2 linked regions of the Daphnia pulex genome follow. The protein of the gene in region 1 interacts with the protein of each later gene in a biochemical or structural test. Links are inferred from orthologs where the notes say so. Each region holds a gene or a part of one and is shown on either strand. Other genes may lie near its edges.

Region 1 (14,860 bases):
AACGTCTCGCCTCACTAGTTTTAACCTGGCTAACATCTTCCTTATACAAACACTGGTGTAAAGACGTTTTACGGACTTACTCGCTAACAGAGATTCTATTCAGTGTTTTTCGACACATTCTTTAAAGCAAATTTCCTTAAAACGCACGCAACTTTTAACCTGTTGGGGAAGCTTTACGTTTTCTATCACTTTACGCCATGTTTGGTGTTTTACCAGATAACCTGTTCAACATGTTGCTTCACTATCCAAAGAAAATTATCGTTACTTTCTCTACTTGCCCTATTTCCGAACTAGACAAGCACTGAAGCTAAATTTCAAATTTTTCTACTCACCTACTGAATAACAGAAGGGCACTAACGATAAGATTTGCTTATGCATTGGCTTTGAACTAACTTCTAAATCTAGCTAGATTCACAGGAAACTTTAATTATACGACATTGCCTCGTTTATTATGCGGGTATGGAAACCGAACAAGAAGTAAGCATGTGAGAATGTTGAACTGGACCACGTGTAGCCAAAAATTTTCCGTACACTAAGGATTTAACCACGTTAAGCCAATCTTAACTGTCAATTAAACCCTCATAACCAAATCCAAGCCACGTCAGAGAAAAAGGGACAAAACTAACCATCTGAAGAATTATGAAATTATCTCAATAGAAAATGGATAAAAATGAAGTGGACAGTTGGGATGCCAATTGGACATTAAAACTGCAAAGGGACAGAAAAAGAATTGATTTATTGGATCCTTTTTAAACATTGTTTCTTGATCTTAATAGAAATGGAGACGCAGCATGGAAAGCAGAGCAATCTTCTGTGGTGCAGTTGACTCGCAAGTGCAATTACTTTCGGTTGGCAGAGTCAACTCGCAGACTTCTGCCATTGAGCTCATAGCCATTGAGGTTTCTCATGGCAGTCTGAGCAGAGTCTGGGCTCTGGAATTCACAGAAGCCAAAACCCCTGGAACGACCAGTTTCGCGATCTTGGACAATCCTAAATTTAATTCAAACACAATATAAATAATGTTTCTACAATCACATCAGTAAGAGCATTTCATTACCTGAATGAGACCACGGGGCCGGCCTCGCTGAAAATGGCCTTAAGCTGATCTTCAGAGACGCCATAAGGAATGTTACCAACTAAATAAAAATATACAAGATGACGATGGCACACAATACAAATGCAATGACAAGAAAGACCAGGTTAAAATATAAACTTACCGAATACTGATGCCATTGTTGATTGGGATTTTAAGACTTCAAGACTTGAAAGAGACAAAGACGAGGAGTGCTACTCTGCGTGGATAGAACGGTTGTGGGAAAGAAGCATAGAAACCACGCCGAAAATTGACAAAAAAAAATGACAGGAAACCACGACGCTGCCAGATGTTTTCATTGATCTTGTAAACAATACTCAATTAAACATAAAATACGAGAAGTTCTTTGATTTTCACAACGTATTCTATTAATTTTTAAATTTAACTTCTTAATTTTCAGTATTTTAACTTTTCTTTATGGTTTTGTATCTTAAATTTGATTTAATTTAAGTGACTTGGCTCAAACATGGCGTCCAAATTTCCGAATACAATATTTAAAAATCTGATATACTAGTAAGTTTTAGTATTCCATTAAATCAGAAATATTTCTTTAATTAATTTACTTAATTTATTAAAATGTAATTGAACTATGCAAATTAAATAAATAAATATAAAACAAAACGACTTTTGAGTCATCTAGTGAGAGATTTTGAAACAACTAGCATACATAGCGGGAGGATTTGAAAATGACTGTCTAATTCATCAACATTGACTAGGGGGGACAGTGATAGGTGGTAAAGTTTTTTATCACTACTTTCTGTCTTAGTTTAAAAATGGTAGTTTCTGAACATCTATTTCTGATAATAAGCAACGACAAAATGAAAATTTAATAAATATTTTAGAGAAGAATTTGTAGAATTATTTTGATTCTGCCACATTTAGCACTGAAATGCACGATTCTTACATTACTCTAAAAATATAACTCAGAAGTGCATCACGAGCATATAAACTTATCGTGGATAAATATAGGTAAGCACCTTGGTAAGCACGGGCGAGCACAGGTAAGTATTAACAAACCGACGTTTAAAAGAAGTTAGGTCGCATCCAATCGATTCCCATCGTCCGTAATAAAAGGGAAAAGATGCCGATATCCCGTGAATAAGATAATTTCCGTTTCATGATGTTAACTTTGGTCAAGTGAAATCTACCATCTGGATCGAAAGAGACCACACTTTAATTTTTTAAACAAGTTATTGAACCCATAAACTTGGTTCTAGACACCAAATTTTGTACAGACAACAGGCGATATCTCGAATAAAAAAATTCCACCAAAGACTAGAAGACTCGACGAACTGCTCAGCATCACGAAAATCGTGGCTGTGAAAAATTCGTCTGGAAATTCGTTCAATGCCCTCAAAAATAAGGGGCGAGGGGCGTGTGTAGAAAAGTGACTTGTGGAAACGATGACGTAGCAGCCAAATGGGTGGATATCAACATTCCCTCACTCTCCAAAGTTTTTGATCGATATCGAGTGCTTACACAACGAACGAACGTCACAAACTCTGCCATGGTCTAAATTTGTAGTCACGTGCGGAAATGTTTGTGGGTGAAATTCGAAAAAAAACAAACAAAACAGATAGAGTCAAGTATTGATTTTTTTTTAAATGCTAGTTTAGTGTATATTCAGCAAATTCATAAAATATTTTCCATGCGACCTACATCATAATTTGTCAAACTTGGCGCACCAGGTGAAATTCCGATAAGCAATCCTAACCGAGTAGCTCAGCTTCTCTAAGCGGAATTTTACATTTTTCTTCCTAGTTGTCAGACTAACTCTGCCATAACTAAGAACTAAAGGCGCATGTAAATCAGGGGCGAGTGTGATTAATATGACGTCCCATGGCGGTCTCATTTATAACTGGAAGATCGCGGCGAACGAAAGAAATATTTCAAATTCCATTTTGCAGTTGAATTTATTTTTAAACGCTCGGAAGTCTAATAATTCTTCCCGCATACAGAAAAGAGATCGCGTGGCTTTTACAATTCCATCCAAGCGGACAAAGTAGGTTTTTGTAAATTTATACCAGCCTTCCAATGTGGTCCTTCGTGACTTATCTACCTTACAATCCATTCAAATTGCTTCTACGTGCATGTATAAATAACCGAGTTTGACGGGATGGTGAATCATTTTTGGGCCAAGCGCGGTGGGAAGAGAACGGTTCTTCTTTAGATATTTAATGTTTCGTGTGTTTCTTAAGATGAGCTTTACCTGGGTATTATTACATTCTTACTTTATTGATACAGACTTTCCTTTTTTATACAAACTAGTCACGCGAAGAACATAATCATACTAACACACACTTCGTGCCGTTGTGTCGAGTTTTATGCGAAAGCTTTACAGGCGGATCTGGCATTCATACGTTATTGATGATATTGATACGTAATATGGTGGTATTCTGTAAAGAAAAATCAAGCAATCATCCGACGCATCGTAAATAACCAATGAGATCCTTAAACGTTTTCCAACCTCTGCTGGCCAAAAAGAGATTTTAGCATAAATCGTGTTCTTTCTCACTCCCTTTATTTCTATATGAGCAAAATTCGAATGGGAGGGATTTCGAGGAAATTTCCAGTGAGATTTCAAAAAGACTTTCGCAGCCAAAGAACCGTATATGTCGGCAAGCTTTATTGTGCTTCTGCATTCGCTTCGGTGGTAGAAGTTAAAGAAAAAAAAAACATATCGCGCATACTATCTCGGTAATAACTAGAGAAGACCCCGACTTACAAACAACAGTCATAAATTCAAGGTTAGCCAAAAGTCAGGGAACTCGTAAAAATAGTAGAAAGAAAAAGAGAAACATTGAAAAAGAGGGACCATTCTTCCAGCCATTCTTTATCACGCAACATGAATGGGCGATGCTCTCGGAATTTGCTTTTCACCGCGTCTGGTAATATAGCGGCACAATACCGGGAATAGCGTTCTCTCATTTGAGCAAGCTATTTCTCCAGCATCAACACGCCTCTATAAACCAAACCGTAATTGGTTGTACTTGCCGGTACTAAGAAAAGCGGCCGTTCATTTTCTTTTGGTACAGGAAATGCGTGTACAGCCTCTTATTGCAACTATTAAGGTCAAATGTAATTAGGAATTTTAATCTTTTGAATTAACCCGAATTTAACGACTGGATTAAATTCAGGTTTTTGCTTATAAGGTATACAAATCATTTCTTAGATTCAGACGATAGTTAAAATAATATGGACACGCAGTAGTAAGAGCGATTGCACATTACCTTATTCCTTTAACGACTTCTCACGTGAGCGATCAACTTGTTGTCTCTTCCCACGACATTACACGGTTCAGGGGAAAACAGATTTTCCGTTACATCCTTGAGAAATCACCCAAATGAATGCAGATTTCGTTTTGTATAAAATTATATCGATTTCAATTAATTCGTTTTACGAAAATGCGCAGCACGACTGAATTGACAACTGGAAACTTAGCAGACGACAAAATTTGTGTTACACGACTACACGTGTCATAGGAGTGTGATAAGTTACATTAGAAATTTTCGAACCAATGTTCATGTAAAATGACTCTACAAAGGTGTAATTTGTTGTTGATCTATGGATCACAAACTGGGCAAGCAAAGTCGATTGCAGAAGACATTAAAGCGAAGGCTGAAAGCCAGAATTACGATGTTGAAATGTTGTCCATGGACGAATCAGTGGAAAAGGTTTGTTGTCATAGCTGTTTTCAAATTGTTAGTTGACAATAATAATTCAACATATTATGGTTGTCTATTTCAGATGCCATGGAAGGATTTTAGATTTGTCATCTTTATTACATCATCGTAAGACCCTTTGTTTACATTAATTGAATGTCTTTTCATGTGTTACATAACAGAACTCCTCTTAGGACTGGTGATGGAGATCCTCCTGAAAATGCATGCATATTTTGGAGAAAGATTCGTTCGAAAGACTTGAACGAAGACTATTTGAAACATTTAGAATATGCTTTACTCGGATTGGGTGATACAAACTACACAACTTTCTTGGGCTATCCTAAAAGCGTTGAGAAACAGCTTCAAAAGCTTGGAGCCAAGCAGTTTTACAAGTCTGCTTGGGCAGATGATGCAGTAGGACTGGAGATTGTGGTTGATCCTTGGATTGAAAACTTATGGCCTGCTCTGGAAAACCAATTGGCTCATCCACATACATTACCTGATCTAGTTTCAGTTGTCAAAGTTCAAACAGAGTCTCCCAATACCAATATTCCAGAAGTTAAAATTATTTCAAAGGTTGATGATCAACCATTGGCAATGCCCGTCCAGAAAGAAGTAGAAGAAGAGTTGGAAAAATGTGTTGTTGCATTAGCTAGTTTGAAAGTGTCTGTATCCCCACTTAGTGAATGTGATTTAAAAGTTCCATTACTTCCAGTGTCTTATTTGGAACTGAAATTCAATGCTGAACTGATGGTGAGTTTAATATTTCTTATTTTTAGAAAAGTTATGAAGTAATATAAATTTTTTTTCTCCTTAGTTTTTCCCTGAAGATGTCTTGCGAAAGCCAATGCCTTCTTCCAGAAGCGCTGTGTTTCAAGCTAGAATTAAAAGTCTTAAAAAACTTACTGGGGAAAAAGCTTTGAAAACAACTTTGCAAGCTACGTTAGAATTCTGTGTAAAGTATCCTTGCTTCTCCTTTTCATTTACGATGAAATATGCCAACTAACTCGTACGATTCATCTAGCCAGCTGAAATTGAATACCAGCCAGGGGATTCTATTGGAGTTTGTTGCGCAAACAGCGCTGAAGAAGTGGATTCGCTTCTTCGTCGATTAAACATGATCGAGCAAGCCGATACACCATTCAAATTGAGAATCAAGGAAGAATTTGCTGCGCTCAAATCCGGTGCCAAACCCAAGTACGAAGTCCCGTCTCATTTACCGACCTTAGCTACCCTACGATTTGTATTGACTCGCTGTTGTGAGATACGAAGTGTACCGCGTAAAGTATGCGATAATTCATTTCTATTTTACCACTTGAATGTTTGCAAATGATCTTTTGGCTTTTCATTTAGTCTCTTGTCCGAATTCTTGCCGAATACTCATCAAATGAGCTTGAAAAACGTCGTCTTATGGAACTATGCAGTCTTCAAGGGTCTGACGATTATACTCGTCTTGTCCGTCAGCCCGAACTCAATGTTTTAGATTTTCTCAATACCTTCCCATCGTGCAATCCGCCAATCGAACGTCTACTGGAACAGTTGCCTCGTCTGTTAGCCCGACCTTATTCGCTCAGCTCGTCGCCATTACAAGTGAGGGATTTGATTTAAAAGAATTTCGAGTCTTTATTAATCTTGATTGTTTCTTGTTCCACTCTAGGATTCCAAATCTGCTAGTTTTGTGTTCAATGTTGTCGAATTCCCCATTCAAGACGGCCGTACCTACGAAAGGAAGGGCGTAGCAACTGGTGAATTGTATCGGATGTTTGATAAAATGAAGAACACTGATTCAGCTGAAAGTGGCGCTTCAAACTCTAGTTGTCGGGAATATTCCGTAAGTGGGGTTATCTCGATTCACTTTGTCTTCGTCACCACTTCTTTGTATTTATTTTTTTCATGTTCAGCTCTCCATATTCTTGAGATCCAGCAACGGATTCTGCTTGCCCAAGAGCTCTGAAACCCCTTTGATTCTCATTGGACCTGGCACAGGAGTGGCGCCTTTCTTAGGGTTCTTAGCTCACAGAGAAGAGCTCTTGAAATCGAACCCAAACCTCCCGTGCGGACCTGTTTGGCTCTTCTATGGTTGCAGGACCAGAGATCAAGATTACCTCTTCAAGTACGTTTTGTTGTCCCCCTCCGTGCGTAGTCAACGCTCGATTTTTGTTTTTCATTCTTCAAAAATGTTTCTCTCTTGTGTCACGCGTTTAGGAATGAGCTGGAGAGGTGGCATTCGATAGGGATCCTCACGAGATTGCTCGTGACTTTCTCCAGGGAAGCTAATCCTCCCCAACCGAAATATGTCCAGGTATATATATAGCATTACCAGTTAATAATAAGCTGTTTAGTCATCGTTTGCGTGTTGCTTGGTATTAAAAGATTACTTGCGCATTATAGGATTTGATTCGACAGTACACGACTCCGCTGGTGAAGTTGATTGAAAAGGGGGCTTGCATTTACGTTTGTGGTGATGCCAAAAACATGGCCAAAGATGTTATGCAGGCTTTAATCTCTGCATTCCAGACTGCGCGCCAAATGGAGGAGGAAGAAGCCAAAAAGGCAGTCATTCAACTCCAAATAGAAAAGCGATATTTGCAAGATATCTGGACTTGAAAAGTTCATTTGAAGCCAATTTTTTTTTCTCTATTTGACTAGTTGACATCTTAAGTAGCTCTTTTCCTTTCTCTCGCTTGTTTTCCAACCACCCAATGACTCGTCAGTCAAGTTGCGTTCCCCTTCTTGACGATAAAATGACTACGGCAGCTTTCGATGAACCAAATACTTTCTTCTCTCGTTACGGCCAGACGATTGCGATATCATAGAAAATGTTACGTCTACTAATGTCAGACGAAGGACACGTATATTTTTCTTGGACACACTCACAAAACACACAAAATAACTAAAAATTGGAACTGTACAGTTACATACAGTGAGAAGAAAGACGTTGAAGCCTAATTAAAATTTAAAACTGGTTGTCGACATAGAGAATCCATTATTATTATTATTTTTATTTAGTTTTGTAATAGAAAGATTAAGTGAGAAATGAAAGAGAGCGAGAGAGAAAGGTGGTGCGACGAAAAGGAGAGAAAAGAGAGCGTGTGGCGTTGTTGTTTTTAACTTTTGGTTTTCAGAAATGATCGACGAAAACGGAGAGGTGGTTTCGAGAATTTTTGGCGTCGTCCAATTGCTCCGATTGAGCTCGTTGTTCGTGATCGTCGTTGCCTCGCTGGGGTAGTTCAATTTGTCGCCACTGTCCCAATTCGTTGGAAGCTTTCAGAGAAACGTTCCACCTGCCAGACGAATTCGCTCGAGATCCGCCATCGTGCGGAATGCGGAGCTCGACGGGCTGGAGGAAGCGCAGACCTTTCGGTCCGCACTGAACTAGTGGACTAAGTAAAGCTTCACCTGTTTTGATTCAAATCAAATCAAATGCAATGGTTAGATAATGAATCACGACTGTTGCAACAACTGAAATCGCAAATAAACAATTGTGAATGTGGTTAATGCGGGTAGAAACGGAAGCACAAGGTGAAAGTGACTCATTGTTTGCCGTGTGTCAGTGGACCGAGAGTGATTGTATACCTTTTCCGTCGTCTAAAGGAACGCCGTTGGTGTCAAGCTGACGCTGGTCTTGGCGACAGACCTTGAAGTAGACGAGGTGAGCTGCCGGGCCCGGAGGGAGAGCTCTAGGCGGTACGAGCAGTGCCACTCCGGTTTCGACACTCTCCAGCCGCCCTCCATGGTCGTGCGTGAGCCATCCGCGTACGGTGGCAATCACCGAGCAGTTGGGTGGAGGAGGGGATGTGGGAGGGGAGTAGTAATCGTCATGATGATAGTGGTGGTAGTAGTCGTAAGGCGAAGAGGAGAATCCATCACCGTCATAGTACTCGTAGTCGAGCCTATATAGATATGTATAGCACAGAGACATGGTAGCAGAGAAAGAAGATTCCAAAAGTTGTTGGCAGACCCAACATTCAGCAGAGCTTATTAGAGTGTTACATGAGCTTAATTTTGTCTGAGCCAAGAGCGCGAGTGCTTGTTATCCGAGAGACTCGTTCAATCCGAATCAATTAAGGAAAGGAAAGAAATAGAAACCGAGCCCACACCAAATGAAAAACAACCAAAAATAACCACGCCAAAGAGAAATGTTTTTTGTTGTTGTTGTCTACGAACAATGTCGACCGCAAAGTGCGTTGCACATTGTCCATAAAAAAAAGAAGAAACAAAAGATGCGGGTGCTGTGGCGAGGATATAAGGCCGAGTGTTGTTTTACCTGGCGTTGTGCTCCATGTAGAGTGGCTGGTGCCCGTGAGCGGGAGATCGAGGATCGGCGGGTTTCTTGTACAGTTCAAAGGCCGATCCGCGTTGATCCCGGTGTTGGGCAAGATCTAGCCGCCCACCATCTCTCGATTGATGTTGTTGCTGGTGCTTCTGGTTGTTCTCCCTGGGCGGTGGGATGTTGTAGTAGTACTGTCCGGCTTCGTTGTTGCGGTTGGATCCGTTGACGGGCGGCGGTGGAGGCGGGGCTTTGCCGTAGAGCGAATTGGCTCCGTAACTGTGACGATCCAAACTGCTTCCATGACCTGCTTGTAAAAGAAAAAAGAAGAAAATCGTTTCGTATAAAGTCACGGGTCATCGTTTCACTTGTCAGCCGCAGCGAAATAGGGGGGATAGTTAAGAAAAAAGAAGGAAACTTGACGGATGGATGGATGAGCTGCAAGAGGTTTCATTGCGATGAGAGTTTGAATAATTCAATACCTGAATCAAAGCCGCCGTTGGTATCATCTTCGTAACGGTAGGAATTGATACCGTTGTGAATGGCCGACGCTGTATTGGACGACGGAGGGCCGTGTGAATAATAGCCGTGATGGTTGTTGGCTCCGCCAGAGGAAGGAGGAACATCTCCTCCGCTGCTTCCGCCGCCGCCGCCACCACCACCACCACCACCTGCTGGCCTGTTTGGATGATTCAAAGTGCCCGGTGGACTGTGATTCCAGTAGTTACTGTTGGGTGTCATCGGTTGTTGGTTGTTGGAGGCTGTCGAAGACGAGGCGTTCGCCGGCGGTCGGTAGTTTTTCGGCTTGGGCGGAGGGACGGGCTTGTAAGGTGCGGACTTGGGTGGAGGTGATTGCTTTTTGTGGTCGAAGGGACTAAGAGAATATAATAATAATAACACACACACACGGTAAATAAAAATAAAAGAAAGAAAACAAAACAAACAATCAACAACTCAAAAGAAATCATAAAAATAACCGAAAGAAACGAACGAAATTTAAATAAAGTAAAAGGGAAGAAACCAAACACGCGATAAAGTTCTAATGGGATTTACAAGGACGCGCCACACGAACGACGGCCATTCTATTCTCATCTACTGATTAACGACGTGTAAAAAAAAAAACACACACAAAACAAAACAAAAAGAATCCCGAACAAAAGAATAACAACAACAACAACACGATCACACGAGACTCAGGTTTGGACTTTGTCGCCGCCGGTACCGTTTAACCGAACGAGGTCTCATTGGCAATCTAATGTTTCAAATGAATGGATTTTTGTGTGTGTTTCTTTCTTTGCGGGACTTTGTGCGGTGCGGATTAGACAGGCCTATATATTTCTATCCTTATATCTCTTCGACTCCCGAAAAAATGTTATTCCTAGCGCTAATATTTTGCTCCTCATCTTTTATATTTCTGACGGTTGAATAATCTCAGCCACTTACCGATGAAGTTGTTTCGTCGCCGGTGACGTGAGCTCGGTCGGCGAACGCACGGGTTGACTGGTTGAGCGAGTGTAGCGGTAAGGATCGTGAGATTTGAGGCCTGCAGAAGTGGGCGAGCCTGGCATGGCATTAACATCTCCGCCGCTTTGATGGTTATTCCCGGCCAGAGTTAATGTCAGCCCAAGTCGGTTGTAAGACTCGTACGATGACGAGCTGTCGTAACTCCCCTGAAACCATAGGACGGACCAAAAATAGAAAAGAGAGAAAAGGAGATGGATCGACGGGTTATTGGCTATTTCTTCTTTTGTCTTGCTTCGAAGCCATCGATATGTCTTACCGCTTTGGCAGCTCTCTCTCTATCCAGGGAACTGCCTCGCAGGGAGCCCAGGTAGTCGTGAGATTGATGAGGTCCTCCGTTGGAAGAGCCCTGGCCCGGCTGGCCTGGAGCCGGTCCTGGCGGCGACGTGGGATACGTATCGATATCCAGACCATTGATGTCGCCCTCTCGAGAGCCAAACAGCCGCTCCTGGGCGGAGCGTGCCAGTTGTCGGTTTGACGGTTTGCTACTCCGATCGATTTTCGGTGGCAACTCAACGACGCCCGATGATGATGGACCGTGACTACTGCCACCGTTGCTTCCGCCGCCACCGTATTTGGAATAAGGCGAGAAATGATGTTGTTGCTGCTGCTGTTGCTGCTGCTGGGACGTCGGGTAACCACCAGACGACCTCGACTGATGGGGTCCGTTGATGTAGTCGAGATTGGTGCTGGCCTGTTGGCTCCCGCGCGACGACGGGCTGTTATAAGAGTAATTGGGCGGTTGGCCGCCGTAGTTTCGCGGAGTGTTGGGGTCCCTCTGCGATGGATGATGGCCATTGCCCGGCGATGAAAATCCGTACTTGGAATCGCCGCCTTGAGATCGGCGTTTGGTCGGCGTTGACGAATCCACCACCTGTGTGATCAACCAATTCACATTTACAACCAAGATCCGATGGAATCGATCCATCGATTGGAAAGAGGATTGATTGTACTTACAGAATGAGAATTGATGGGAGACTGGAATTTGCTTGGACTCAACGACTTCAAAAGTGCACCGGGACTGCTCATTCCGGAGACACCCAGATCATCCTGAGTGGCGATGCTGGGGTCACTGGAGCTCTTGACCAATCGGCCACCGGAACTGGGCGACGGCGGAGATTTGCCACCTGCTCCGCCGTTGACCCCGTTGGTTTTGGAAGAAGAACCTTCAGCACCGCTAGCGCCGCCGGAAGCACGCGGCTCGGGCGACAAATCGAGATCCGACTCTGGCGAAGATGCGTAAGAAAGGCGCGACGTCATCGGGAAGAGGAAATCATCCGAGAGGTATTCATCCAGCTGGATCCGGCCGATGAACGACGACAGATTGTTGTTGAAATAAGCGCGGAAAGCGGCCACAAAAGCGGATGGGGGGAAAACGACATCAACGACACACACAAACACAAAAGACAGAATTTCTTTGGTTAGAAAAAAAGAAACACGGAATTTAAAAAATATAAGCACACAAATTTCCTGGTTGACTGGGAACCCTGACGGCCTGACGAAGACGATGCACAACGGACCGAAGCGACGAACAATTCAATATCTCTTAAGTTTTTTGAAATTTTTTAACGGGTGGGGGGTTGCGGGCAGACGGGGACGACGGAAATAAAGATTTGGTTGTTGTTACAAGAAATGATTGAATAGCGACTCTTCATGGATGACGGACAACGGCCGTCGAGCCATCACTTTAAGGGGCGCGTAATTGTTGTTGTTGCTGTTGAAATTGACGTCATCAACAACCACTTGATAGTAGGACGCTGTTGGGTCGAACGGCGAGATGGAGGGCGGGACGGGCGGCGGATAAAACGACGGCGGATCGCTGCAGCCCATGCCGCCGATATTGTTGTTGTGATTTAAATGACTCAGCAACGCATCCGTGGGCAAATCGACCAACTGGCGCAAAGAATGGACCCGGACACCCACACAGACACACCCCAAAAATTTGGTATCAAATAGCTCGTTATTAGGACTGGAATGAATAAGAAGCGGCACAAGACGGCCCCCGTCGTGATTTTTTTAAGAATTTCATTTTAAAAAGAAAAAAATGAAAAAAGAAAAGACGACGGGGTGTTACTTGCACGCTCGGGTGCCGCTGGAGATTTTCCCGAAATGATATCCCATAAAAACGGTCGAAAAAAAAAACTAAACTCCGAAATTGAAGCTGCTGCTGCTGCTCTATGGCTAATAATAACAATAACAATAATCACCTTGGCTTCCGAGACCCAGATGGCTTGATTCTGTTCACGGTCGATGGCCTCACGAAGCTTTCGGTACCAGGTGTCACGCTGCGTTAGCGGAACTGTCGTCGTAAAGACGTGCGACCAGAGTTTCTCCAATTTGACGCATTGCTCGTATAATTTCTTGCTGCTCTTGTGGGCCGTCCTAGTAGAATGGAAATAAATCAATAAAAACATCAAAGGCGTTAGTAATTTTCTGCAACGTTTCCATCGGCTAGAGTTAGTTTTTTAAAAAAATAGCGCGGGAATTGTAAAAAGCGTCCGAGACCCCCCACAACACACGGGAAACACCGAGAGAGACGCAGACAAGTTGGCTTTTGGTTGGTTTTTTGGATGAGTAGCACAGCAGTTGGCTGGAATGTGTTGACTTGGCCAGCAATGGGCGACTTACCACTTGAAGAATTCTTCGAGCCGGGGAGCCAGGCCAGCCAGAGTGCTGACATTTCAAACAACAACACAATGGATCATTGCAACCAGACAAAAAATAATAATTTCCATAATGCAAGAAAAAGAGAAAAAAACCAACAACATGACTGGAAAAATGAAAAAAACTACAAAAAAGGCATGCACGCTCTAGGCATGTAGAAATAGTATATCGATAGGTAAGATACTACTGGCTGCTAGATATATGTATAATGTGATGCATATCTATGCACTGCAGTATGCAGAAATGTGCATTGTGTGCGGATGGCACGGCATGGCACTAGTGCTGAATTATTTATTTACTTTGGTATTCCGGCGCGGAGCTCCTTGACTGTGTGTTTCGAATCGGCCCGCAAAAAGATGACAACCGGATAAAACTGAGCATAGTTGAGCTTGTCCACGGCGCCGGGGGTGATGTCCAGTAAAGCGTGTCGACCTTTCTCCACCAGTTCACGAATAGCGCTCAAGCGGACGATGCCAGAACGTCCAGTCGCCACAGGAGCGCCCGTTCCGGACCCTTCGGCCGAGTCCCGATTTCCGTCCATTTCTAAAAAAAAATTTCAAAATTATGAAAATGCAAAGATTTACTTGACATTTTTTTGAAAAAAAAAGGTAGAACTTACGAGGTGCAGAGAATTTGTCAGGGAAATCCTTGATGAGTTTGTCCCTGGCGACATCGGCAATGGGACCGAAAAAGACGACGGGTCGGATGAACCCTGGATGCCGAAGAACGACACGCTCGTAAGCCGGGAATTTGCTGAGTGTCTCTGCAAAGACGACGTCATCCCAGTGATCCTGAAACGTGAAAGAAAAGGACAAGAAAAAGAAAAACATAAGCCACACAGACATATCATCACCAGTGTTGAAAGCATCAACTATTTATAAGCATCATTAGCATCAGAAAAGGGGGGAATAGGAGAAAGATGATGGATGTGCCGTATCGCACGTTCCTTCAATTGACAAAAGGCTCACGATTTTTTCGTTTCCTCTTTTCAACGTGAAAAGAGAGAGAAACATTAGTCCCCGCAAAGAAGAAGAAGAAAAGGGAACCGGTTACGTGTGTCGCTTTGAGGACGAGCGCCAAAAAGAAAAGAAATTTTTTCTTTCTTGTGGAAACCCGCAGTGGTGTGTTGTAAAGAGGCGTGTCGGGAGTCGTGACCGCACCAAGCATTTCTTATTAAATTTGTTCTTTTTATTTTTTGGTTCATTTTTAAAAGTATTTCTCGGGATAAGAGCCCGTAAAAGAGCTCTAGAAAAGAGCAAGGTGTGAATTTCAGTCGAAAAATACAAGTGCATTCTCACCCTTCCTAGAGACTTTGAACGGCGGTGAGTGGGTCGCCTTCGCCGGAAGAAGGAACCGCGTGACTCGGATGTCGTCGTGGCCGCTTCCTTTTTGGCGGCGTTGAATTGAGCCGTGGCTAATTCCTCGGCTCCCGCGCTGTTGGGCACAACCCCCTGCTGCAAGTCTTGACCGTTCGGACCTATTTTGGGGGGTGGTGGTGGTTGAAGAATTAAAAAATAAAACACGAAAAAGTCAGAATGAATTCACGCGGCGATCCATCACGGCTGATGTTGAATACGTGAAGACGTCACGGTCCAAACAACACAGCCCCCAACCGCTACTCGGTATTGCTACTTTTTTTTTTCCTTCCTC
Region 2 (15,685 bases), on another chromosome or scaffold:
CTTCTTCTTCTTGGCTTGATTTAAAACGACCAGAAGAGTTATTTTTATATCAGAAAAGAAAGAAAGAAACAAGAGCGAAAGAACGCCACTAAATACTAGACTGCAGCAGTTGGAAGGTTATTTGGTTTTAAAAAGAAAAGAAATATGTAGAGTCTGTAAACATTCTTAGCTCATTGGGTCTAGTAGCTGAACGAGCCGATGGCAGGAGCCCCGCAGTGAGACCTTTTGTTGCGTCTAAGAAAGTGCGGGGCGAATCTCGATCACTTTCTTAACGCTCTCTTTATAACGCCATGAAAAACAGTCAAGAAAAAGCCACTGCTCTTTTCTTTTTGGGGGGTTGCCGGTTGCCCGGGAGGAGACAAATATTACGCACACACACAACATTCAACAAAAGAATGGGAACCTTTCGAAATTTTTCTAATTCAAAAAAAGTGTAGAGAGAGAGAGAGGGGGGTGATGCAAATGACGGGGCATTAGCGCGATTGGTCGCAGTCACACAGACGCGAGAGAGAAACTGGGTGTTAATAGCCAACTGTCGCCGTTTTCGTGTCATAATGTCTGTGTTTCTTTCTTATTTCCACAGACGAGTAAGTATCCCTCTTGTCTCTTGGAGGAGAGAAGGGGAAAAAAAATAAGTTGCGGTGACACTCGAAAGAGTGACATCAGCACAAGAGAGAAGAGACAACTTTCGACCCCACAAACCACTTAATAATATTCCTCTCCCTTCTTGTTCGTCTTCGACTTCGTATTTTGATTTCCCTCCGCTGGGTCTATGTGCTCATAAGTATGTACTACTACCTCTCATTATGTTTTTACCCTCCCGTACATCTCCAGCCTATACCGTCGACAACTACTTTCTTTTATTTGGGCTGTTGTTGTTGCTGCTGTTGCTGGAGTTGTCAGGTACCAGGGGGGGAGCTCCACTTCATCATGTGGCCGTCCGTAAAGAAGAAAAAGAAAAAAAAACAAAACAAGGAGGAAGGTGGTTACCGTCAAGATGATGAAAAAGAAAGACCTACGGCACTGCGCTGGCAGCAATCAAAAGGGAACGCAACCGACACAACACGCTCGGCAGCGGAAAAATGGAAGAGGGAAATAGTTCTACGACGGCCCGAGACTCTAGCAGCTCCGTTATGTAGGGAGTTTGAACCAGACGGAGGAGAGAGGAGACGTCTTTTTAAATGTTGCGATGATGGCCGTCGAGAGATTTTTTTAGGGGGAAAGAAGAAGAAAAAAGGTCGTAACCAGTTGGGAGGTCCAACCGTCAGTCCGTCAACAACAAAAATGGATATAAAAATCTCCAAATCTATATGAGCTGATCCCGTCCACAAACCCGAGCGACAAACAGAACACACAGAGCGAATATGTAATAATATTTCTCCATCAAAATAAATAAATACAACTTTCTTTTTTATATTTTTATCATGTCCCCGGGAGTGATTGACGAAGGAAAAATAAACAAACGACACACAAAAAAAAAAGGACAACTCAAACGACGGAGGGGGTTTACCAGGAAGCCAAGTGTCTCCTTCCTCCTTCAGGAAAACAAGTTGCGACCAGATGGGGCGCAAATGAGTCTAGAATCAAGAGAAGAGGCTACTACTGCTGGATGCCGGGAAAGAAAGAAAAAATCCGACGCCAATAGTAGTGAGCCGGTGTACAATTGTGTCATGTGTCGGCCATGACACGAGGATATATAAGAGATATATAAGAGATAAAGAGAAAAAAAAGCTGTACACTAGAGAAAAAGAGAGAGAACTGAAGAGATAGATAGTAGAGAACGAGCCGAGCGGATATTGTATTTTGCTTCTTGTGCCCTTTTCATTTCTTCTCGCGTCTCGGGACCAGACGACAACAACGGACGAGTGGATGGCAACGTGTCGTCCGTGTCGCACTAGAAAGCTCGCAAGGTAATATCGAATGTGTCTCACAGAAAAATAAAAAAAGGGAAAAGAGAAAAAACTATTACAATGATTTTTGGGGGGCTCAAGAGGGCGAGCGAACGAAAATAAATAAATAAATAATAAAAAAATTCTTTCTCTTATTTCGTTTCATTTTCTTTCCGCATCTTCGCCAAGAGGGGGTGAAGAGTTCACGGTCCGCACGGAGAATCACGCTAGACTGAACATATTACTAGCGCCGGGAGTCTTAAGAGGAGGCAAAAGGGGGTGGGTGGGAGAAGCTTTTCCGTCGTGTGTGTGACTTTATATGTGCGTTTATAGACACCCCCCTCCACACCGTCTACCACCCAATAGAAAACTTATTGGCGCAGGGAGTGCAAGCACGCCTGGTCTCATTTTTAATGAGAATCGCGCGCCCCATAGTCTTTGGTTCTCTCTCAATCATTTCGTGCAACTGCGACCGGATCGGGAGAGATAAATAAATACGTCAATTCGTGCAAGGCGCAGCCGAGAATTAAGTACCGCCGAACCATTGACGACAAGCCAAAAGCAGTGCCGTCAAAAGCCCTTTCGTGAGCTGTACGTAAGTACGAGCTGCTTGCTATCACTGCTGCTCGTTGTTGAGGCATATCGGTCGATCATCAAAACGCCCTCCCCTCCTCAGGTCTACACACACACAAGTCCATCAGGGCGACCAAATATAATCTGAGCGCTTCGGCTCAACTCAAACGCTGATGGACGTGACCCGTGCGTGAATCATAAACCCATCACACACACGTAACGGGCCCCGGCGCCATTTTCCTAAATGTAATGTACGAAAATGAGGTCATCACGCTCGTCCTTCCCCCCCCCCCTCTCTCACGTCAACAAATAACACAAGAAAACAACAAGAAAACAAGAAAAGCCAGAGAGAAGAAAAGAAAAAAAAGAGGCAAAACGATGTGTGTGTACAAGTGTGCATAACACGATCAAAATGGCGGACCAACCCCCTCCACTCATATCACTCAGCTGAGACTGCGAGAGACAAAGAAGTTGAACAATTTAGAATGTGTGAGAGAAATTGGATGTTAGACGATTCAATCATCATCCCAACTCGTCTTCGGATGGTTCTGGTCTCTCAAGATGACGCCGGGGGAAAGTCGACGTATACAGAGAGAGAACGACTTGCAACAACAGAGATGATTAGAATGCGCATCGGGTAATTGTTGAAACCTCCGTGTGCGCTTTGCTACTTACACATTTCGAGCGCAGTCGAGATTCTTTTTCCTTCAAATAAAGGTAAAAAGGTAAGAAAAAGAAGCTCTCCGTACAAACACACAAGGAGAGAAGAGAAGAGAGTTGCTCTCACTACAACAAGTTTTGATTACGCTCATTATCTCCACGAATGGTAAAACAGAGCCAGAGTAGAGCGCAGCAGCAGCAGCAGCAGCGGCGGCGGCGTCGCTTGTTTCTCCTTCAGCCCAGACACAACGGAGGTACGAAAGACCAATGGGCCCCCGTGATGACTGTTATGATGATGATGATGACGCGGCTCTCTCTCTCTCGAGAAAATATAAGAAAACCGTACCGGAGCCATTTGTTTTTGTTTTTTTTTCTTTTCTTTTCGGTACTCCCACTAGGAATATAAGAGCACGGCCAGGATCTTTTCTTTCGAGTCTCGGGACGTGTGTTCTTGTTTGTTTGTTTTTTTCTGTCGTTGAACGGACAAATTTGACCGGGCAGAATATATATAGAAGAATGGCCGAGACGAGTAGGCATGTGTGGGTTCACCTTGACGTTTCTCGCTCACGGCCAGGTGATTTGAAAAAAGGTCGAAACAAGAGAGGACCCTTCTATAACTTGCTGCGCTTGCTACTACCGACTACGCCAAACAATTCTGAAAGCCATAACTGGAAGGGAAAAAAAAAGAACAAGTCTACTACTTTCATATGCCGTCTCTCAATAGTTTAGTCGTCGAGGTTTATTCATCTCTCGAATTCCGACAAGCTCGCTCGGACTCTTGCTCTTCTTTTACTAGTCCGTCCCGACTGCTGCTGCTACTGCCCTTTTCTCTCTCTCTCGAGACAGTCTAAAAATAACAGAAAAACACAAAAGCTAGAAGGAAATTCTTCCTGGCACCATCAAAATGTTTTGCTTCTGTCGGTCAACAAAACTTTTTTTTCTCCTTTTTTCTAAAAAAGAAAAATTTCTCGACAGTTTCTTTTCTATGGCGTCGATCGTTTCAACAGCTGTAGGACATCCAAACGTTTACGACGGTACCAAGAGGACGGGGATGTGGAGCGGGTCACGAAAGGTCCACGATGTAATTAAAAAATATCAAGCGTTTCTGATGCTCGCTCGCTCTCTCTCCTCCATGTTTCGTTATTAACAAGCGCAGAACCCAACGATTCCAACGAGCCAAGACGAGAGCCGGCGAGGAGGCTGCTGAGAACGGCGCTGCTGTGATCCACTGAGATCCTCCAAAGGTGGGTCATCCCATCATCAACAATTCAACAACAACAACAACAACATCGCAACGGTTTATTCTTTTTATGATTTCGTTTCCAAAGTCTTTTTTTTTTTTATATATCGAACGCTCGACCTCATATTTTGCGACTAGTTGTGCGAGTTTCTCTCTGAATTGAAACCAAAACATAAACATTTGATTTTTTCATTTTCATATTAAAGATTTAAAAGAAATGAAAAAAACTAAAAGAGACAAAACGCGATGCCAAAAAGTTGACTCGAGATCAACAAACTCCAACCAAAGACACAATGTAACCAAAAAACAAAAAGTCGAATAGTTTTCTCGACGCCCCTCGTCATTGGCTCATAACCGTTTTCTTTTTATTCATCCGATTATTTATTCATCAGCGGTCCGACAATTTCGAAATAAAGAAGAGAAAACTTGTTGTTGTCTGCCATCCTCTCTTCGGGGACCTCCCATCGTGAAGGATAAAACGACGCGCGATGCATTTCGTGTTTGGCACACGTCGCCAATAATTTGCGCAAAAAAGACAAAATCAAATAAGAAACAAAACCAAGGGGATTCTGTGTCTGTCTGTGCTGCACAGTTTGTGGGACGTTGTTCGACCCGCTAAAGAACGTTCCTATAGAAGCTGGATTTTTCCCGGAATAATGTACTAATCCCGCTTGGGAGAGAGATGGGTGACTCGAGCGAATCAAAGCCCCAGGAAATTTCATTTAAACAGAATTCTTCCCCAAAAAAAAGGAAAGAAAAAGTTGGCGAGAGAAGACTACTTGCTGCATCAAAGAGTAAATGAATGCGGGCCGAGCGAGCGGCACCTCCCAGTGTGCGGGAAAACGTCTTTACACCAAAAGGGGTCCCGCAATAATAATCATAATAATTCCACGCTCCGATTCGGTAGAGTAGAGAAGGAGAGGACTGGATGGGTAAAGGACGACGAATGAAAGAAGAAATGCTGCTGCTCGTTAGATTACACTAACGTTTGCGTTGCTTAGCCCGAGGGATCTTTTTTCGTTCGTATATCCGCCGCCACGCGTATTGATTGATGGGCCAGCCCCAGTGATTTACATATCACGCTCGCGTAAATAATCGCCCGGTTTTCGATGGGGAGGGCATCGTGCGTGCAGTCTCGTGCAAAACACGATCGTTACCAAGAGAGAAGGAGGGAGGCAAAAGAAAAAATTTCAAAAAGAAAGAAAAAAAAGGAGTTACATATAACACATGAAACGAAACAAAAGCCAAGCGGACGTTTATGGATTCATTTGGCGCCAAAAAGAAACCTACAACGCCTATAGTCAGATATCGCTGCGGTTTACGGATGGCTGAAGGATTCAATCACTCGGAGCCGATTCAATGGACGGGCGGATCGATCGGTTTGCAAGAGAAAAACGAGCACACGACCGGGAGCATCGTGGACGAGTTCATTAATAGCGAATCAAATACGCGCGGTGGAGTGGGGAAGAAAAAGTTGTCACCTTCGCCAAAAAAAAAAACAAATAAAAATTTAATTTAAACAAGAAAAGCAAGTGACTCCAGTCACGCTGAGCTGAGCTGGACCAACCAGACACAATCCAGCATGCACGGTTGAAATCTCGGCAACAACTCTGGGTAGATTCAACGGCTTTTCTAGATTGCTAGTCAACATGTCATCCTTGACGACCGCTTTTCCTTCATCCTTGATGCAGCTGCACAGCTCTCTGTGTCACCTCACCTATACGTCTTATCTGTGTGTGTCTGTCTGTCTGTCAACTGGCACCGAAGAAAACGGCTCTGCTCGTCCCTAAACCTCACCATTTCGTGGTCGATATATCGATTACTACACCATCACGCCCTATTCCTCGTCTTGTCTTCCTTTGTTGTAGCCCTTGCTGCGTTCCTGCGTGACTATTTTTCCAGAAGAAAAAAAAGGAGAGAGAGAGAAAGAGATTGGCCAAAACACGTCATCCGTCCCGATAGCAAAAGAAATCTAAATTCTTTTTCTTTTTTTTCATTCTCGTGTGGACACCTTTCATCCAGCTCTTATCTCCCGACGCCTCGGCAGCCCACAGACGGGCGGAAAATATGAAACAAACAAAAACTGAACGAATCCCAATCCCGAAAACACAAGACACACACACACGAAAGAAAAGGCCTAGTGTTGGATCAAGCTCGGCTAAAGTCGACTAACATTGTCCCGTTCGAGCTTTTTTGTTGTTGTTGTTGTTCGATATTCGTGCTGTCCCCCTTTTGCCCTCGCGTTTGAAGCTTGTTGTTGTTGTTTTTCCTCCCCCGTTTCTCTTTTGTTTCTTCATAGTGAGAGACAGTGAGACTCGTGCGCTCACGGTGTAATAAGAAAAAGACCAAAGTAACCGAGCTCTAACTACACGTAGGCAAACACACACGGACGGCCTTTAAATTGGCTTTGGACGCAGACAAGGTGGATGGAGGGAGGGGGGATGACGACGTCCAACGACGCCGATGTTTTGGGGGAATGGTTCGACCCCTTGGAAAAAGAGAGAGAAAGGTGACGGGACTTCGTATAAGGCTCTTGTAGGGTTGCAAAGCTCAAGTTCTCCTGGCTGCTCTCTTAACATTAAATTTTTATTTTTTTTATTTATTTAAAAAAATATTTGTCCTTCTTTTTCTCCCCCTGGCCCCCTTCTCTTTTGATGGTGGCTATGTGCATGTATATGTAGACTATATAGATAGAACAGAGAGATAGAATGAAACTTGGGCGACTTCGGTAGTCGCTCGCAATTAGACCCTAGGAGAGGGGAAAGGCGACCAGAAGAGTTATAAAAATAATATGTTGGATCTTCTTTCTTCTTTGACTTCCATCATCTGGTTGGCTTAATATAAAACTATAGACTCGATTACGTCAACCCCTTTTTTTGGCGTTGGGGGAAAAAGCAAAAAAAGGATAAAAATCCAATAAAATTGTGACATTTGTTTTCGATACCTTTGCGACTTCCCCCCCACTTTCCTACGCTAGTCCGACTGTCACTTGACACTATCCTATCAAGAGTCACGGCGAGTGGGTTGTTTGGTCTCTTTGGCGTCAGCCCCACACAATAACGGGCAAAAAAAAAAAACAAACAGAAAAAGGCAAGCCACTTTACGAAAAGCTCGTTATAAGTAAGTACATTTGGGTTGGGCTCGTCGAACGCTGCAGCGGGTCAAAGTGACTGGGCAACGGTCCACTTGGTTCTAAACCCGGTAGATTTCCACTACCCACCAGCACTCGGATGATGCGACTCAATATCAAGACAAAAAGCCAAAGAGCTTCTACATTACAGACACACACACACACACGCTCTTTCTTTTCTGCCAGTTATCCACTTGTTAGCCATTACCTTGACGACCTTTGCCCACCTTCCCGTCACATCCGACATCCGATATGTCAAGTTTTGTTTCTCCAAGAGATTCAGGGATTGTACAACATTCAAAAGGGTATATGTGTGTGTGGGCAACTGCCCAATAGTTAATGGCCTTAGACTACTAAAAAATAGATACGAGCATCCTGGAGTTGCAGTCTTAAAAAAGTCAGAAGAAATGTCAAAAGAAACTCACTTGTTGTTGTTGTTCACTGTGTCGACGACGGCTCCTCATTCATAGCCAAGTAGTTCCATGTGGTTGAAAATGGGCGAAACAAACAGATCCTGATTGCACTCGAGTGTCTTGTTGTTGGGTGTTTTTCTGGTTGTAATTTCAAACAGGAAAACGCGTGCAGAAAAGTCAGGGCCAACAATTGGAGGGAAATCAAAAAAAGATCCTTGTCTCTTTGTTGTTTTTTTCGACAACCAAGCACTGCTTACTCGATGTAAGTTTAAACCCTCGTATTTTTTTCTGATTTATTAGCCGTTGACACGAAAGTTTTATCCGATAGAGACAAACACGATCACTCAACACTGGTGCAAAAAGTATCCCGCGTTCAAGTGAGAAAAAAACCAATGAAAACAACACTGCACGAAGGGGCTTGCCAAAATCCAAAAACGTGGTCGTGTGCAGCTCAATCAATCCCAAACGCCCAAACTGAACCACAGCAGACGACGTTAAAGTTAAGCCTGATTGGATGACGCCAAAAACTGCGTGTAGATTCCGCTGATTTTCAAAATGAAATCAAAACGAGTGGGGGTGATGCAGCAGCAGCAGTAGCAGATTGGAAACAAAACAGAGATTCACGGAGCAGCAAGAAATAAGCACCGCAACGCCTGACAGCCGGCTCGCTTCTGAGCACGCTGGTCCCTACGGTCGCCCCTCAACCCCCCTCACACACACACACACACCATGCAGTGTGTGTGTGTGTGTGTTCATAGCCCAACCCCTCCGTACCACCTCCCACCTACCTACCACGTTTTTTTTCTTTTTCTCTTGCAGCAATGGTGGTGGTGGTGTGTATCTCTCTCTACCTTTTCAATGCGGTCTATATCTCTCTCCACCCACCGTGCTAACCCGTATGCCCCCCTTGGCATACGTAACAACCACGGATAACAACTAAAAAAGAAGAAAACTGCGCTAGACTCTCTCTCGCATTCCAGCACAGCAGATCCTTGAGCTCTGCAATATGAACATGTGCACCAAGAAAATTGTACGATGGATGAAAATCTTTTTAGTCTGGAAAGTAACATTTTTTTTTTTTGCGCAAGCCTATGGGTTAGGTAAGAAAGTGTAATACTGCACGTGATTGCATAGAAAGGGTATATGTATACCTACACTCCGGGAAACTCCGGGAGGCGTGGTGCGGATCAAAGGAGAAAGAAGAAGAAGAAGAAGGCAGAAAGACGACCTTGAAGGAACGCACACTGAAATAGAGATAGAAAAATTTGTTTATTCTTTTTCAACAATTTGAAAACGACTAAAATATTCAAATCAAAGCCCCCAACACTTTTTTTTTCTTTTTCTCCTTTTTCAAAAGAATGTCTTTTTAAACTTTTTTTTTTTGCGGCATTTGCATATTACGTAGCAAAGCGACGAGAGAGAGAGAAATAATGGGAGGGAATTCATCGACGCACACGTATCCACAGAGTATATTCAAATCGCCATGTGGTAGCATAAAAATTCGAACGTTTTAGAAGAAAACAACTCGTTATCTACGGTGAGAGACTTTACGAAACCAAAGTCTGAAGCAGAAAAATCTTCTTCTTTTTTTAAAATATTATATGAAAATGAAATTTTTTCTTTCGGTTTCTCTATACACAAAGTCTTCGGGTCAGCGAGAAAGTTTATTTTTTTGAATCGTAAACGCGCCACGATTAAACGAACTGGTCGTCGCCGTTCTTATTTTTTTTTCGGGTGAAAAAAAAATATCCATCGAGTGGCCATAAAAATATTTCATTATAAATCATTAACAAACAAAGGGGAAAAAGGAGAGATTAGACCCCCGGTGCTGGACACGTTAAGGACAAAAAATGAGAGCCGGGACACACAAACGATTTCAAAATAAAAGGAGAAAATAAAAATAGAAAAAAAGAAAAAAACGGGACCCGACCCGCCGAGAGTCAACCGAACGCCAACGTTTTGAACAAACACAATTTCCTCCCTCCATCGGTCGACCTCAATAAATTGAGGGCAAAGAGAAAAAAGAGAGAAAAATAAAAATAAATAAAAGGCTCAACCGACGAAAAATTGGGGAGTTGATGTATTGGATATCTGATCGGATAAAATACATGCATGCGATATCGGGTTTGGTTTGTGTGTGTGTGTATAGTCTCTTTTTTCCAAACTATTATGTACGATAGAAAATGTTATAATATGTGTAGGCAGACAGGCACAGAGCAGACAGCCCCGACGTTTTTCACCGTCCCCCCTTCTTTTTGTCATCGGGGTTTTCTGTTTCCCGAAATTTTTCGTGTCCTGTGGGCTGTGGCTGTTTATTTCGTGGCAGCTCTGCGGTTTCGTTTCTCCTTCTTCTCTACCCTTAGGTGATTCTTCTTCTTCTTCTTATTTTATTTTTATTTTTTTTTTCTGATTCGTCTTTCGCTCTTCCTCCAAAGGCTTTGCATAATCAACCGATCAGATTCGGCCCGCCAGACAATTCAACACACACACACACACGCGAAAGGGAGAAAAAGAAGAAGAAGAAGAAACGCATCAACACCAGAGCCAACGACGCAACGTACAGGACCGCTGCTCTCCACTGCACCTCAGCGTGAAGTCCAAACGCGAGTCGAAAACTTTTTGGCGGCGGCACATCATCTTCCCGTCTCGTTTCTCTCTCTCTCTCTCTGGTTTTCGTACAGTTGCGGGAGTAACAAACACATCGGACTCAACAACAACAACAACAACAACAAAGTGAAGAAGAGATGGGCAAATGCCTCGGGAAAGAGAGAGAGGTAACTCTTCACCGGTAAAGACGCCACACATCATCTGTAAAAGCTTCGCCGTGAATTTCTAGCGCTGTTACACAGAGAGAGAGATGAGGAATAACAATAAAGACGGACGCCACATGCTGCCGCCCAGCTCCGCACACACACACACACACAGAGGGTAAGCAGAGAGAAAAGTATAGAGAAACTGATGGATCCGTCAGATTGAATGCTGTTACAAGCCTTCTAGATCCCGTGTAAAAGCATCTCCATTACAGAATCATCTGTGCAAAGCACAGCGCTTTTGTATTTACAACAGCACACGCCAAAAGTCGTTATAATCGAACTCAAAACAAGTGTTTATACATAGTATAAGTAGTATGTATATTCATATTCACCGATGGCAACTGCTAGTACTTTCACCACCAAAGTTTCTGGTTGCTGCTTCCTCGGTTTGTTCTCACGAACAGCGGAATTAACACACACACGCCGAGCGCCTTCTATGCAGACGCCCGTGTAACAACTGTAACGCACGGAACAATAACGTTTTCCTATTACAAAAGCTTTTCCGGATATTTGGTATTGCGATATACAGACATTAAGAAGCGAACCCAAGAGTTTGGGGATTCTCTCTCTCTGTGTGTCTGAGTGTATAAATACAACAAACTCTGGCGGTTGATGTTGCTGGAGAGCTGGGCGCAGCAGCATCAACTTTCAAGTAACAACAGCCCCAACAAAAGATTTTCGCAGTATCTATATGGCTGGACTCCGTTGTATCTGCCCAGCCAGCAACCAGCCACCAGCCAGCCAGTGTCTATATATGAGGTACGCAGAGGAGTTTCGTGGAACTTGTGAAAATGCCAAAGAGTCTGGAGAGAGAAAACCGAAACAGCAGTGAGAGAAACGATTCGGAGCGGTTGCTGAGCTGCCCCAGCTTTTTTTTTCCTATTTTTCTTTGGAAACTTTGAAAGGTGTATATACTATATACATGCACAAAACGAGAAGCTAGATAATAATATATGTACTTCTTCTTCTTCTTCTTTTCTCTCGATTCTTTTTATTTTCCCCTTTTCTCCGAGTTGGCCCCCCTGTTCTCTCTCTCTCTCTGTTCTCTTTGCTTAGCAAATATATTGCTAATGAGTGTAGTCGTCGGTCTTAACGAGCTGGCAGCCAACTATTTTCCCAAAAACTCTTGCCAGTCGCTCGAGCCCACACTGCAACCCCAGTACACAGCACGACCAGCAGCACAGCCGCATTACCAGTCGACTCGTCTACTTAGCAAAGTCGGGATAAGGGGAAAACATTGGCCTCCGCGTGATTATTATTCAACCGAATCCCCCAGAGAAGAATAAGAAAAAAAAATAAAACAAACAAAAAAAAGGAAACTTTTTTTTTTCTTTCTGGTACCCAGGCTTGTAACATAGGCGTCGGTCCTCTGAATCATCCATTGCGATCCGTGAAAGGAAAAGTAGAGGAAACGAGTAACACACAACTGGATATAATGCTGCGCTGGCCAGCACAGCAAGCTCTGGAAAAACAATCCGAAACGTAACGAACTTTTTTTTGGAGGGTAGAACTTTTTTTTTGGTTCGTTCCGTTTCGCTTCTCTGCGCAAGTGTTGAAATTGCCGCCGACAAGGCCGCCAAACTTGCAGGGATGGCGAAGGCAACCCAAAATGACGAGCTTGCATGAATATTACATGCAGACGCTTAATAGCTTGTAATGGGCCACAAGACAACAGGTCCTTAAAAGAAAGAAAGGAAAGAAAAAAGAAACGACAAGACGATTGAGCTTTCAGTTTCTATAAGCCGAGGGGCGTGAATAAGTGAACGAAAATAGTCAAATGACTTCATCATCATCTTTCTATATCTCTACCGAAAATTTGTGAGTGTATTTTTGATTATTTGATTCGAATTATTTTTTTTTTCGTTCTCTTGCCTCGAAATGCGCACAGTGAAACTGATCGAAATCGCTTCTGATTGGCCTCCATATTTAGTCATCTCTCCTCTTCTTCTGGCCTTCGCCAAGGACCCGAACGGCCGAATGCTTGGAAAAATTGCCTTTTATATCTATTTTTCTTCATCTTTTTTTTTATTATTTTACTTTCTTTCTTTCTCCTTTCCTTACTTGAAAAAAAAAAAAGAAAAAAATCCCGGGTTCAACAGTCGAAAATGAGTTGTGAGGTAATTGGGTCCCGTTCAAACGCCAACGTTTCCTTAATTTCCCGGCCCTTCTGCGTTTTCTTATTTTTTTCTTTTTCTCTTTTTCTCTTTTCCTCCTTTTTCGTTTCAGTTCAGTTTTCTTTTTGAAGAAATCACTCGATTCGTTTCTTCATGGTCGGCTGGTCGTGATTGGAATTGAAACGGCGTGAAGACGAGCGAAGAGCGAGAGAGAGAGAGAGAACAACCCCGCCAGTCCTCGGCTGCTGGATCCCGGGCACGGCGGGCAGAAATTAAAACGAGTGAATTTATTTTCAATTCAAACTTTATTTCTTATCTTCTTTTTCTTCTGGTATTTACTTACAACTCGGCACACGGAAACGCGTACACTCCGCACGCCTCCTCCTACAAGTTTCCGCGCGTTATTCGTCAGCTGTGTGCACTACTACACATACACACTAACGTGGAAGTTGGGCTGCTTAATAGGCTATAAGCCTTCACCCCCAAATTCTTTGTCGACCATCTTACCAAATACAGGAGAGACTAGCATCTTTAAAAATCTCTAAAGAACGCGGGGGATATTTTGGGGGGGTTCTTTAGTCGTAGGAGGAAAAATAAAAAAAGCCCCCCCCCTCTGGAACCACCCTCCAAACAAGATCCATGTCCAAGATTCCGAGAGTCCAAAGGCTCTTAAGTCTCATCAGCGCCCAAATGCACGCACAATTTGACATATCACAAGTCAAAGATCTCATCGCTGCGCGCATCGCTCTAACAAAAGACCTAGTACTACTACTACACCAGCAGTCGCTCCGGCTGACCAGCCAAAACCGATGCCAAAGAGATGAGGCGCCCATCAAGGGAAAAGGGCTAAAGTTTTTCGGCTGCGATTAGATATCCATCTCTCTATACCCACAGTACAATATAACGAGCACCGTTTGAGTATATATAAATACAATGTACACAGCACACGATGGATATCGACCCGCATTCTTTGATTCCGCATTTGTCTCCTTACTTCCGCCCACCAGCGGAATTTAATCATTCAGGCTTCTCCGGTGGACAATTTCCCCCAAAGGTAAAAAAAAAAAGAAGCCTGGACGGACAATCGCTGCGTACTTATCTGTCCAGGGCGACGTTTCTATTTTCAGCTGGATTTTGAAAATTTCAATCGCTCCATTTGGAGAGTTTTGGAACGTTACCAACGGCAGTAAATTCGTTGTGTATCTTTGATGTAAGTTTCGAAAAAACGGGCGCCGAGATGTTTTAGAAGGATAATGCAGAATGCAGGATATGGCATCGTCCATCAGCCCAACTTTTTGTTTCGTTTTCTTTTTTCGCCTACGCGTTTCGATCGTGAATAAATAACGCTTGGCGATTTGAACCCGATGACGAACGATGGTAGCCGTGGGAGAGACAACAACAACAACAGCAACAGCAGCAGCATCTCAGCGCTGGAAATCAGGAGAGGAGCGAATAAGAGATGGACGCCGGAGATATCGTTCACCAGCGCGTCGTCCACCAAACCACAAATCGTCGCTCTCATCGGGTAACAACCCGTGCCCGCGCCGTCCCACCCATATATTCCTGGGCGTCCCATTCTTCTTGATTTCGCAACGGCGCGCCTTGACAAAAGGAAGAAAAGAAGCAAGAGAGAGAGAGAGAGAGAGACAACCAAAGGCAACAACTATTCCAGTGGAGAAAGGAAAAGGAAAAAAAGAATCAAGGGAACGTCGGGCGATAAATCTCTAATGGCTTTTTAAAGGAGTACTAAGAGCCGGAGCGATATGTCAACTGCTTCCTCGTTTCTTTTATATTCTCTTTGGAACTCTCTTGTTGTTCAAAGAAGACGAGTCAAAAGGCAAAAAGATGTCTTGTACACTACAGCACTGGCAGCATCCAGCCCCTTCTTCCCAGCACACAACAACACAGAAGAAACTGTGGTGGGCAAAAGTTCTAAGCGAACGGGGGGCAACCGAAAGAGTCGATGGCGCTTTTTTTCTTCTTATCTGTCGTCATCGTCTGATGTTTGCGTCCACCATATTAGAGAGGTAAGCAAAAGACAGACGATACGCAGTATATATATGGAAGGAGAAGAAGTATTACGTGTATAAAAAAAGGCAGCAGCTTCTTCCCACAGGCCTGTTAGTTTTTCTTCGGGGTTGTTGCTGGAGCTCTTGGTTTTTATTTCGTGCTTACCTGGATAAGAGAGAAGAAAGAACCACTCGGGGGTTACGTCTGTGTATCTCTTTTTCTCTCCTCTCTCTTGTCTTGTGCACAGTCGTACACCTACCACCAATGTTTCAGGTGGAAAATAATAAAATAAAAAAAGAACCAGAGTATAGACAGCGGTGTGGGAGCTGTTGGTTTGTTGGGAAGGGAGATCTGCATAAGACGGATTCGGGTTTCGTGTTGCCTGTCACGACGCTGGTGGTTTGTGGTTATGGGCCAGCGGCCCAAGGGACACCAAATGATGGCCGGCCATGCCTAGGCGCTGTGTCGTATCATTTCGAAGAGAGGCGACTATTCTCTGTGTAATGTGCCGCCCGATGAACCCGGTCACCACTAAGACCCTGGACTTTTCTCAGAGCAGTCGCAGCTACTATACTAAAAAAAAAGAAGACTACTACTAGTCTACTACCGACTTACGGCGCGTATAAAACGCCACTGCCATCCATCCATCCATCGGCCACCATCAACGACTATCTAGATACTTAACGCAAAAAGGCTTTGGCTATTTTCGATTCCCCAAACTTGACTTTCCTTCTAGAAAAAAGAAAACCTTCTTCATGACTGATAACAGCTTCAAGCTTCTTTAATAAAAGAATTTGAGCATAAAACTTAAAATCTACTTCTTTAATTGGCGTCTCGTATAAA

The links.
Region 2: the proteins of tight junction protein ZO-1-like (region 1) and irregular chiasm C-roughest protein-like form a complex in vitro, tested with the Homo sapiens proteins (3 studies listed by BioGRID and IntAct, with this or other methods). The link is inferred for Daphnia pulex from reciprocal best matches to the Homo sapiens genes TJP1 and KIRREL1.

Annotation. Positions count from the first base shown.
Region 1 is NC_060024.1:10,103,669-10,118,528, reverse strand, and holds the end of tight junction protein ZO-1-like, read right to left. Parts: intron 14,688-14,860; coding exon 14,509-14,687; intron 14,002-14,508; coding exon 13,830-14,001; intron 13,754-13,829; coding exon 13,510-13,753; intron 13,220-13,509; coding exon 13,175-13,219; intron 12,929-13,174; coding exon 12,754-12,928; intron 11,843-12,753; coding exon 11,504-11,842; intron 11,421-11,503; coding exon 10,806-11,420; intron 10,696-10,805; coding exon 10,469-10,695; intron 9,900-10,468; coding exon 9,508-9,899; intron 9,333-9,507; coding exon 9,023-9,332; intron 8,649-9,022; coding exon 8,332-8,648; intron 8,155-8,331; coding exon 7,877-8,154; 3' UTR 7,593-7,876; downstream 1-7,592. Other genes in the region: cleavage stimulation factor subunit 2-like, read right to left, coding at 840-990, 1,058-1,136, 1,218-1,233; methionine synthase reductase-like, read left to right, coding at 4,624-4,767, 4,841-4,884, 4,950-5,508, 5,573-5,710, 5,780-6,040, 6,109-6,345, 6,413-6,586, 6,657-6,868 and 2 more. UniProt on the Homo sapiens protein: TJP1, TJP2, and TJP3 are closely related scaffolding proteins that link tight junction (TJ) transmembrane proteins such as claudins, junctional adhesion molecules, and occludin to the actin cytoskeleton.
Region 2 is NC_060022.1:5,899,357-5,915,041, forward strand, and holds the start of irregular chiasm C-roughest protein-like, read right to left. Parts: upstream 8,627-15,685; 5' UTR 7,918-8,626; intron 1-7,917. UniProt on the Homo sapiens protein: Required for proper function of the glomerular filtration barrier. It is involved in the maintenance of a stable podocyte architecture with interdigitating foot processes connected by specialized cell-cell junctions, known as the slit diaphragm.